Linked DNA regions of Neurospora crassa OR74A. The protein of the gene in region 1 binds, or shares a complex with, the protein of each later gene. Links are inferred from orthologs where the notes say so. Each region holds a gene or a part of one and is shown in the gene's direction. Other genes may lie near its edges. The genes, in order: NCU01772 and NCU11012.

The links.
Region 2: NCU01772 (region 1) and NCU11012 share a complex: the UniProt entries of both Saccharomyces cerevisiae proteins name them as parts of the RNA polymerase III (Pol III) complex. The link is inferred for Neurospora crassa OR74A from reciprocal best matches to the Saccharomyces cerevisiae genes RET1 and RPO26.

Annotation. Positions count from the first base shown.
Region 1 is NC_026502.1:2,490,139-2,494,058, forward strand, and holds the start of NCU01772 (DNA-directed RNA polymerase III polypeptide), read left to right. Parts: upstream 1-1,136; 5' UTR 1,137-1,322; coding exon 1,323-3,920. UniProt on the Saccharomyces cerevisiae protein: DNA-dependent RNA polymerase catalyzes the transcription of DNA into RNA using the four ribonucleoside triphosphates as substrates. Second largest core component of RNA polymerase III which synthesizes small RNAs, such as 5S rRNA and tRNAs.
Region 2 is NC_026503.1:2,365,609-2,369,358, forward strand, and holds NCU11012 (DNA-directed RNA polymerase I), read left to right. Parts: upstream 1-1,561; 5' UTR 1,562-1,864; coding exon 1,865-1,908; intron 1,909-2,012; coding exon 2,013-2,294; intron 2,295-2,367; coding exon 2,368-2,487; intron 2,488-2,542; coding exon 2,543-2,579; 3' UTR 2,580-3,110; downstream 3,111-3,750. Other genes in the region: NCU00038 (C2H2 transcription factor), read right to left, coding at 1-1,123; NCU00039 (hypothetical protein), read right to left, coding at 3,150-3,750. UniProt on the Saccharomyces cerevisiae protein: DNA-dependent RNA polymerases catalyze the transcription of DNA into RNA using the four ribonucleoside triphosphates as substrates.

The DNA of each region.
Region 1 (3,920 bases):
TTCAGTACAAGAGAGAAGATCGATTTACATTCTGAGCACTCAAATGTACGATAGCCAGGTGATAGCTATGGTAGACGCTGAGATATGGAATGTCTTGAATGCTCATTGAGACCATGGTAGAGAAAGCGAACGCACAAGTGCAGCGCCCCCGTGTTTAACCTTGATGTGAAATCTCCTCGCCTTTTTTTTTCAATTGCTCCTCTTTCGGATCTTGCCCCACTGCTGGGTTGGGTTCCAGGTCGATTCAAGCAAGGTAGCACCCTGCTGGAGCTGGCCTAGGAAAAGATGGGTACCTACCTACACTATGCTGTAAGACACGGCCAACGGTGATGCGACTCTTTGACGTTTGTATAGTCAGCCAGAAGCATAACCCTTCTCTGATTCTTGAAGCCTGAGCAGGTCACAGCACTTGGGAATAACATCAACCTCCGTTGTATGCGATTAGCAATTCAAAGGCTGCCATATCAACGAACAAAGACCGAAGAAGACCATCAACATGATAACAGGTAGGAGAGAAATAGTGAACGACCCGGCAGGTGATTTCATAACCAGAAGCTCTCCCCTGTTGACTGGTGTGTCGATCGAAGGCCCGGCTTCCGCTTGGCGCGGCTAGATTCAGCAGAACGGATACATAGCTATCTTGAGGTTACCTAGCTGGCCTGACCCCGCTACAAATTGTTCAAATCGCTGTGCTAGTTGAAGTTGGATAGGTAAATACAACCTACCACCAGGAGGCAGATGTGTCGGAGTTGCACAGAGGCGGGGGTTCCTTATCACGAACATCAAAGTGACGGTCCGGAGTCAAAGCAAAAGGAAAGGTTTCAAAGGTACCCGACAGGTGGAGGGCACGGCCAAAAGTGGAACAAGGAACCTACATAGGTATATGTAACTGTCAATCAGGGGTCCAAAACGTGGGCGCTAACAATTTTGGCCTCGGCATACCAGTTAGGTACCACTGCAGTCACTAGCAGTCACCGGTCACCGCACCACAACACTACCTCTAGTGTAGTGCACTACACACACTAACAGTCAAGCACAGACCACTCCCGCCCCGTCGTCCCCCACCGCCCCAGCCGCGGCTTACCTCTACTGACCTAACAAGAAATGGCAGCGGCCAGCCCGTAGAAAAAGTTTATCGCAACTAATCCTTATCAATTTGCCGCGGGGCCAAAAATCACATCGAAATCTACCTACACAACTGCAAGGCGTATCTTCTCAACCAAACACACATTCCCGGTCGTTCCGCGCCCATCATCGCCATCCTCCATTCCTCCGGCCCGATCGATACGACGAACCGTCACCCGCAGTTAGCACATGCAAGGATGGCGGCTCTCGACGATGGCTTTGAGGCCCTGCTGGAGCCGTTCTACAATGGCAAGAAGCTGACCGATCCCATCTCGACCACGCAGGACAAGTTCCATCTTGTCCCGGCCTTCCTCAAGGTCAAGGGCCTCGTCAAGCAACACATCGACTCGTACAACTACTTCGTCAACGAGGAAATCAAGGACATCGTTAGGGCCAACCGCGTCGTCCGCAGCGACCAGGACCCCAACTTTTGGCTCGAGTTCAGAGACATCCGCGTCGGCATGCCCACCCGCACCGAAGATGGCGAACAAGTCCAGTCTCGAAACCCCGTCACCCCCATGGAGTGCCGTCTCCGCGACCTCACCTATGCCGCCCCCGTCGAGGTCGACATCGCCTACACCCGCGACAAGAACGTTATCGTCCGCAAGAACATCCCGCTATGCCGCATTCCCGTCATGCTCAAGAGCGCAAAGTGCTACCTCAACGGCGCCACCAATGCCCAGATGGAGGTCTTCAACGAGTGCCCTCTCGATCCTGGTGGCTACTTCGTTATTGGCGGAACCGAAAAGGTCATCTTGATTCAGGAACAGCTTAGCAAGAACCGTATCATTGTCGAGGCCGACGAGAAGACCGGCGGAGTCATGGCCTCGGTTACCAGTTCCACACACGAGAGAAAGTCAAAGACTTACGTCGTACTCAAGAAGGACCGGATTGTCCTGCAGCACAACACCCTCTCCGAGCCCATTCCCATCGTCATCGTTCTCAAGGCCTTCGGTGGTCTTTCCGACAACGACATCATCGAGCTGGTTTGCGGTGGCGATGCGCGCTACCAGGACGATTTCCTCATCAACTTCGATGAAGCCGGAAGAGCTGGTGTCTACACACAACAACAAGCGTTGGAATACGTTGGTGCTAGAGTCAAGATGGGCGGTAACAGACCCAAATTCGGTGCCGCTCCTCGAAGAAACCATGCTGAAGAAGGTCTCGACGCACTTGCGAACTTAGTTATCGCGCACGTTACTGTTGAGGGTCTCGACTTCTATCCCAAGGCCGTCTACATTGCCATGATGGTTCGCCGCGTGCTGATGGCAGCTCAGAATCCCAAGCTCGTCGATGACAGAGATTTCGTCGGCAACAAGAGATTGGAATTGGCTGGACAGTTGATCTCCCTTCTATTTGAAGACTTGTTCAAAAAGTTCATTTCAGACGTCAAGTACAACATTGACAACTTTTTCAAGAAACCCAACCGTACCTCTACGTATGATCCCCATGGTGCGATCATGGCTAACGGCCATTATATCTCTCACGGTCTTAACCGCGCCATTCAGAGCGGCAACTGGACGGTCAAGCGTTTCAACATGAACAGAGCCGGTATCACCCACGTGCTCAGCCGACTCAGTTATATCGCTGCGCTGGGTATGATGACGCGTATCAGCTCACAGTTCGAAAAAACAAGAAAGGTTTCCGGTCCAAGAGCCCTACAGCCCTCACAGTGGGGTATGCTCTGCACCTCTGATACACCTGAAGGTGAAGCCTGTGGTCTGGTAAAGAATTTGGCACTCATGACACACATTACCACGAATGTGCCGGAGGAACCAGTTAAGAAGATGATTTTTGCTGCTGATGAGAGCGTGGGACCGATCCGAGAATACACCGGAACAGAGATGCACAGCAAAGGCTCGTATATCATCCATTTGAACGGTACACCATTTGCTGTGACCAGGGAGCCAAAGCGGTTTGCCGCCAGGTTCAGAACTTTGCGTCGCCGGGGCTGGGTCTCTCCTTTTGTGAGCATCCACATCAACGAGCACTTCTCGGCGGTTCATATCGCTACCGATGAAGGACGTATTTGCCGCCCGTACATCATCGTCAAGAACGGCAAATCCATGTTGAAGGCAGAGCACCTGAAGATGCTTCAACTCGGGCAAGCGACATTCGACACTTTCCTGACCAGCGGCGTGGTTGAGTATCTCGATGTCAACGAAGAGAACGATACCCTTGTGGCGCTTCAGGAGGATCAGATCACCAACAGCACTACGCACATGGAAATTGAGCCGTTCACGATTCTCGGAGCAGTCGCTGGTCTAATTCCCTTTCCCCATCACAACCAGTCTCCCCGTAATACTTACCAGTGCGCCATGGGTAAACAAGCCATTGGTGCTATTGCCTACAATCAGTTCAACAGAATCGATACCCTTCTTTATACCCTTGTTTATCCCCAACGACCAATGGTCATTACGAAGACGATTCAACTTATCCACTACGACAAGCTCCCGGCAGGACAGAACGCCACCGTCGTTGTCATGTCTTACTCTGGCTACGATATCGAAGATGCGCTTGTTCTGAACAAGGCTTCTCTAGATCGTGGATTCGGCCGCTGCCAAGTGTTCCGCAAGTATACCGCCGAATTGCAAGGCTATACGAATGGGCGCCGCGACAGGGTTGGCGGTATCATGAAGGACGAAGACGACAAGCCCATTGTTAAGCACGCCATCCTCGACGCCGATGGCCTGGCCCAGGTGGGCTCAAAGGTTGAATCCGGACAAACGATGATCAAGAAGGAGACCCCGTTGGACCAGATCTCTACTGGAATCGCTGGCGATCGTGGGTCAGAC
Region 2 (3,750 bases), on another chromosome or scaffold:
GATGGCCTTCATGGGCAGACTTGATGTGCGTGTTGAGATTGGAGACACGCGTGAACTTTTTGTCACAGCCCTCCCACGTGCAAGCAATCGTCTTTCGATCTTCGACTGTCTTGGCTGAGTGGTAGAGCTCAACGTGACGCATCATGTTGCTTTGTGTACCGCATCTGACACCGCAGAAGGCGCAGTTGTTGTGCTCCTTCTTCATATGGGCTTGAAGCAGCAGCATCGTGGTAAATCCAACACGGCGACCTCCACTGTCATCACCCTCTCCTTCAGCGTTGCATTCGTCGCACCAAAACTTCAGGTCACCGTGCTCGCGCTCTACGTGCCTTCGCAAGGCACTTGCAGTGTCGAAGCCGGCGTCACACCCGTCGTTACCGCATGGATATGCCGACTTGCCTAGATGAACGGTTCGGATGTGTCTCTGGAGCGTTTGGTGCTTGCGGAAGCTCTGGACACAGTCCCCATAGCCGCGGCAGCGGTAGCGATCGGCGCCCTCGTGAACCAGAGCATGGCGGCGAAGTCGTGTATTAGTGACAAAGGACTTTCCGCAACCGGGCTCGGGGCATGTGTACTTTCGATCGTTGGTATGAGATCCCTTGATGTGCTGGGAGAGGTGCTTCTCTTCGAGGTAGTCTTTGTCGCAGTCATCGTAGGGGCACTTGAACGGGCGATCGTTTGTGTGAGATCGGAGGTGGGCAGCCAGACGAGCAGGGCGGTTGAAGGTCTTGGTGCAACCGGCGAATGTGCACCTGATGGTCTTGAGATCGGAGGGGAAGCGGCGTGAAGCACGAGTCGTGGTAGTGTTGATACTAGTTGCTGCTACCGTAGTCGTCGGATCGGCGTGGGTAAGGGAGGTGTTGGCAACCGAGGCAACAGAGGCCGAGTCAGGGTCGAGTTCGAGGCTGTCGTTGCCGTTGCCATCAGAAGCTGCCGCCTCTGCGCCAGCAGGTGGCGATCGCGATTGCGAGGGTAGGGCCGGTGCCTCGAGCTGCTCTACTTGTGAGAGTTCCTCCTCCTGCTGCTGCTGGACCCAATCAGTAGCTCTTTTCTTGGATTGGACTTGAGCATGGTCGGGGCCGTCATGGCCATCAAGGCGCTCGTCGTCCTGTTTCCGCTTCATTTTGAGGCCTGGAGTAGCAGCACTGGTCGCCGTGGCCTGCTACCCTGGACTTGGTTGGAGCTTCGACATTGGAGAGAGGGAGCTCCACGCTTTTTGGGAAATTCGCTTGGATGGATTTTTTTTTTGGAGGTTCACATTTGTGACGGAACCTTTGCATTGCACCTGCCGATTGGACTTTTCGTCCGGGGTGGGTGTCCCTGCCGCTTCAAAAAGTTTATCTGACGTTTTCCGGTTCCAGCACCGGCAGGCAATTTTACGAGCGAGTGAAATTCGGGGGACCTGGAGGAAGGGAACCCATGAAGAAGCTGATGGCCCATCCATTGGCCCCACCCCTGTGACCCACTTCTCTGGTGTCACGTGCATTGGGCATTCTTAGCCTATTTAAGTTAGCTAGGTGGGGGCTTCTCAGATCCCTCCCCTCTTCTACTCTTTAGACTACTTTGGACGAATGAGACATCATCACTTCTTACCCCCCATGTCTCTTTAAGGTTTTATGTCTTGGCACGGCTCAGCCTTGCATAAAGTAGCGGCCCCACTCGAATTTTCTGTCGTCCTTTTGTCAGCCCTTCGCCCTTCCCTCACCACCTTGCGCATCCACGGTCGGCCAAACACGTCCAGTCTTCCACATCCACGCGTTTTGGGCAATACCATTTTGTCCACATACCTACCTCTACTTGTGCAGCTGCAGCCCATATCTTATTATCCTTACCATCAATCAACTCCTAAACAAACCCACCAAAAATGTCCGACTACGGTGACCACGGTGACGATGATCGCGAGCCTATGTAGGTTTCCAACGCCACCTACCCACCTAGTCCTTGGCATCAACCTCTACACATGATACCGCAACTCATGCGTAACGCAAGAGATGCTAACACGTAGCCGCCAGCGACGAGCCCGCCTTCGATGAGGACCCGGATGAGTACTACGAGCCCGAACCCGAGCCCGCGGACGACGACGTAGCGGGCAGACCCGGCGACGAAGTCGACGAGGCCGAAAACGATAACAACATAGTCACTTCGGGTGACCCTAACGCGGCCGCCAACGCTGGCAAGGGCAACGAGAAATCCCACAAGGACAAGAAGATTCCCAACGACCAGCGTTCCACGACACCTTACATGACCAAGTACGAGAAAGCTCGTATCCTCGGCACACGTGCTCTGCAAATCAGGTGGGTTTCCTCATCGGTGGCGCTTGGACGACTGTAGGGACGGATTTGGGCTGACAAGGAACCACCTTTGTAGCATGAACGCGCCAGTGCTGGTTGATCTCGAGGGTGAGACGGATCCTCTTCAAATCGCCATCAAGGAGCTGCGCGAGAAGAAGATTCCTCTGATTGTCCGTCGTTACATGCCTGATGGATAGTAAGTTGTCCTTTTCCCGGCACCTAGCCGAATACCCGCTAACATCCCTACGTAGCTACGAGGACTGGACCTGCGAGGAGCTCCTGCAGTAAACGGAAACCTACAAGACCCGTCAGGGGTAATAGGGGCGACCCAGTCTTTGGTCAGAAAATACACAAAATTGCATTAGCGAGGGCGTTCAGGTTGAAGTTTTATACATCATATTTGATCATTTTGGGACGGTTGGACTCGATCCAAAGGGCAACAACAAGAGCACAATGTGCTCCTCGAGTTGAATAAAGGGCCCATTCAAAAATTCACGTGCGTCTGATCAGTCATTGTCCTGTACGTTCGTGCTATTGTTCAACAGGCCTGGGCATATGAGGTATCAAGAGCCTTGTTTACGCCGCACTTTTCATGCTGATATCTGCTTAGATTTCCTGTCGCTATTTGATAGCGAATATTCAGATCAATTAGTATGTCAATTATACAGAAAAGGAATAGAGTATAACACTCATACAAAATTACCTACTTGAGAATCGAAGAACAGCGTTCGTGTCAAGCTTACCGCCATCCCTATCACCACGCATGTCCAGCAACATCCTTATGAACACCAGTTCTCCCAAGCTTCCCTTCCTTTCCTTCTGCGTCCCAGCACCACACACGGCTCAGCAGTCAGCACCTCACCAAGGCCCCGTCCCCCAAACCTTACACTTCGCTCCCGCATTCTTCCCCCAATTCGCCAACGTACAATCCGCATACTGCTCCTTACACTTCAGCACCGCCCCCGCGTACGAGGTCGAATCATCCTTGCCGTACTTTCCTTCCTTGCACCCCTTGGCGTACACATCCACACAATCATCGTACTGCTCCTGGCACGCATCCAGACAGGCTGTCGAGAACGACGAGCGAGCGTATGACTTGCACTTGCTCGAGTCCGAGTCCGTGTACAGCTTGAAGGGGTGACCGGACGAGAAAGAGGAGAGAAGGTCGTTGCAGGTTACTACGGGGAGAGGGATCCCGCCTACGGGGGGTTTGTTGCTTTTGGGGGGGTTGCAGAGGGAGGTGGATGTTGGGATTGGGCATTTGGTGCCGGTGGTGGTGGTGCTGGTTGTGAATGTGGCCGCTTTGGTGGACGTTGGAACGGAAGTAGATGTCGGCTTGCCAGTGCTAACAGGGAGACAAGGAACCGTAATCACCGTCGTTGTCGGAACACCAGGTCCGGTAAGGGAGGGCGACGAAGGCGGCTTGTGATTCCAGAAATCCTTCTTGGAGCAGATGCCC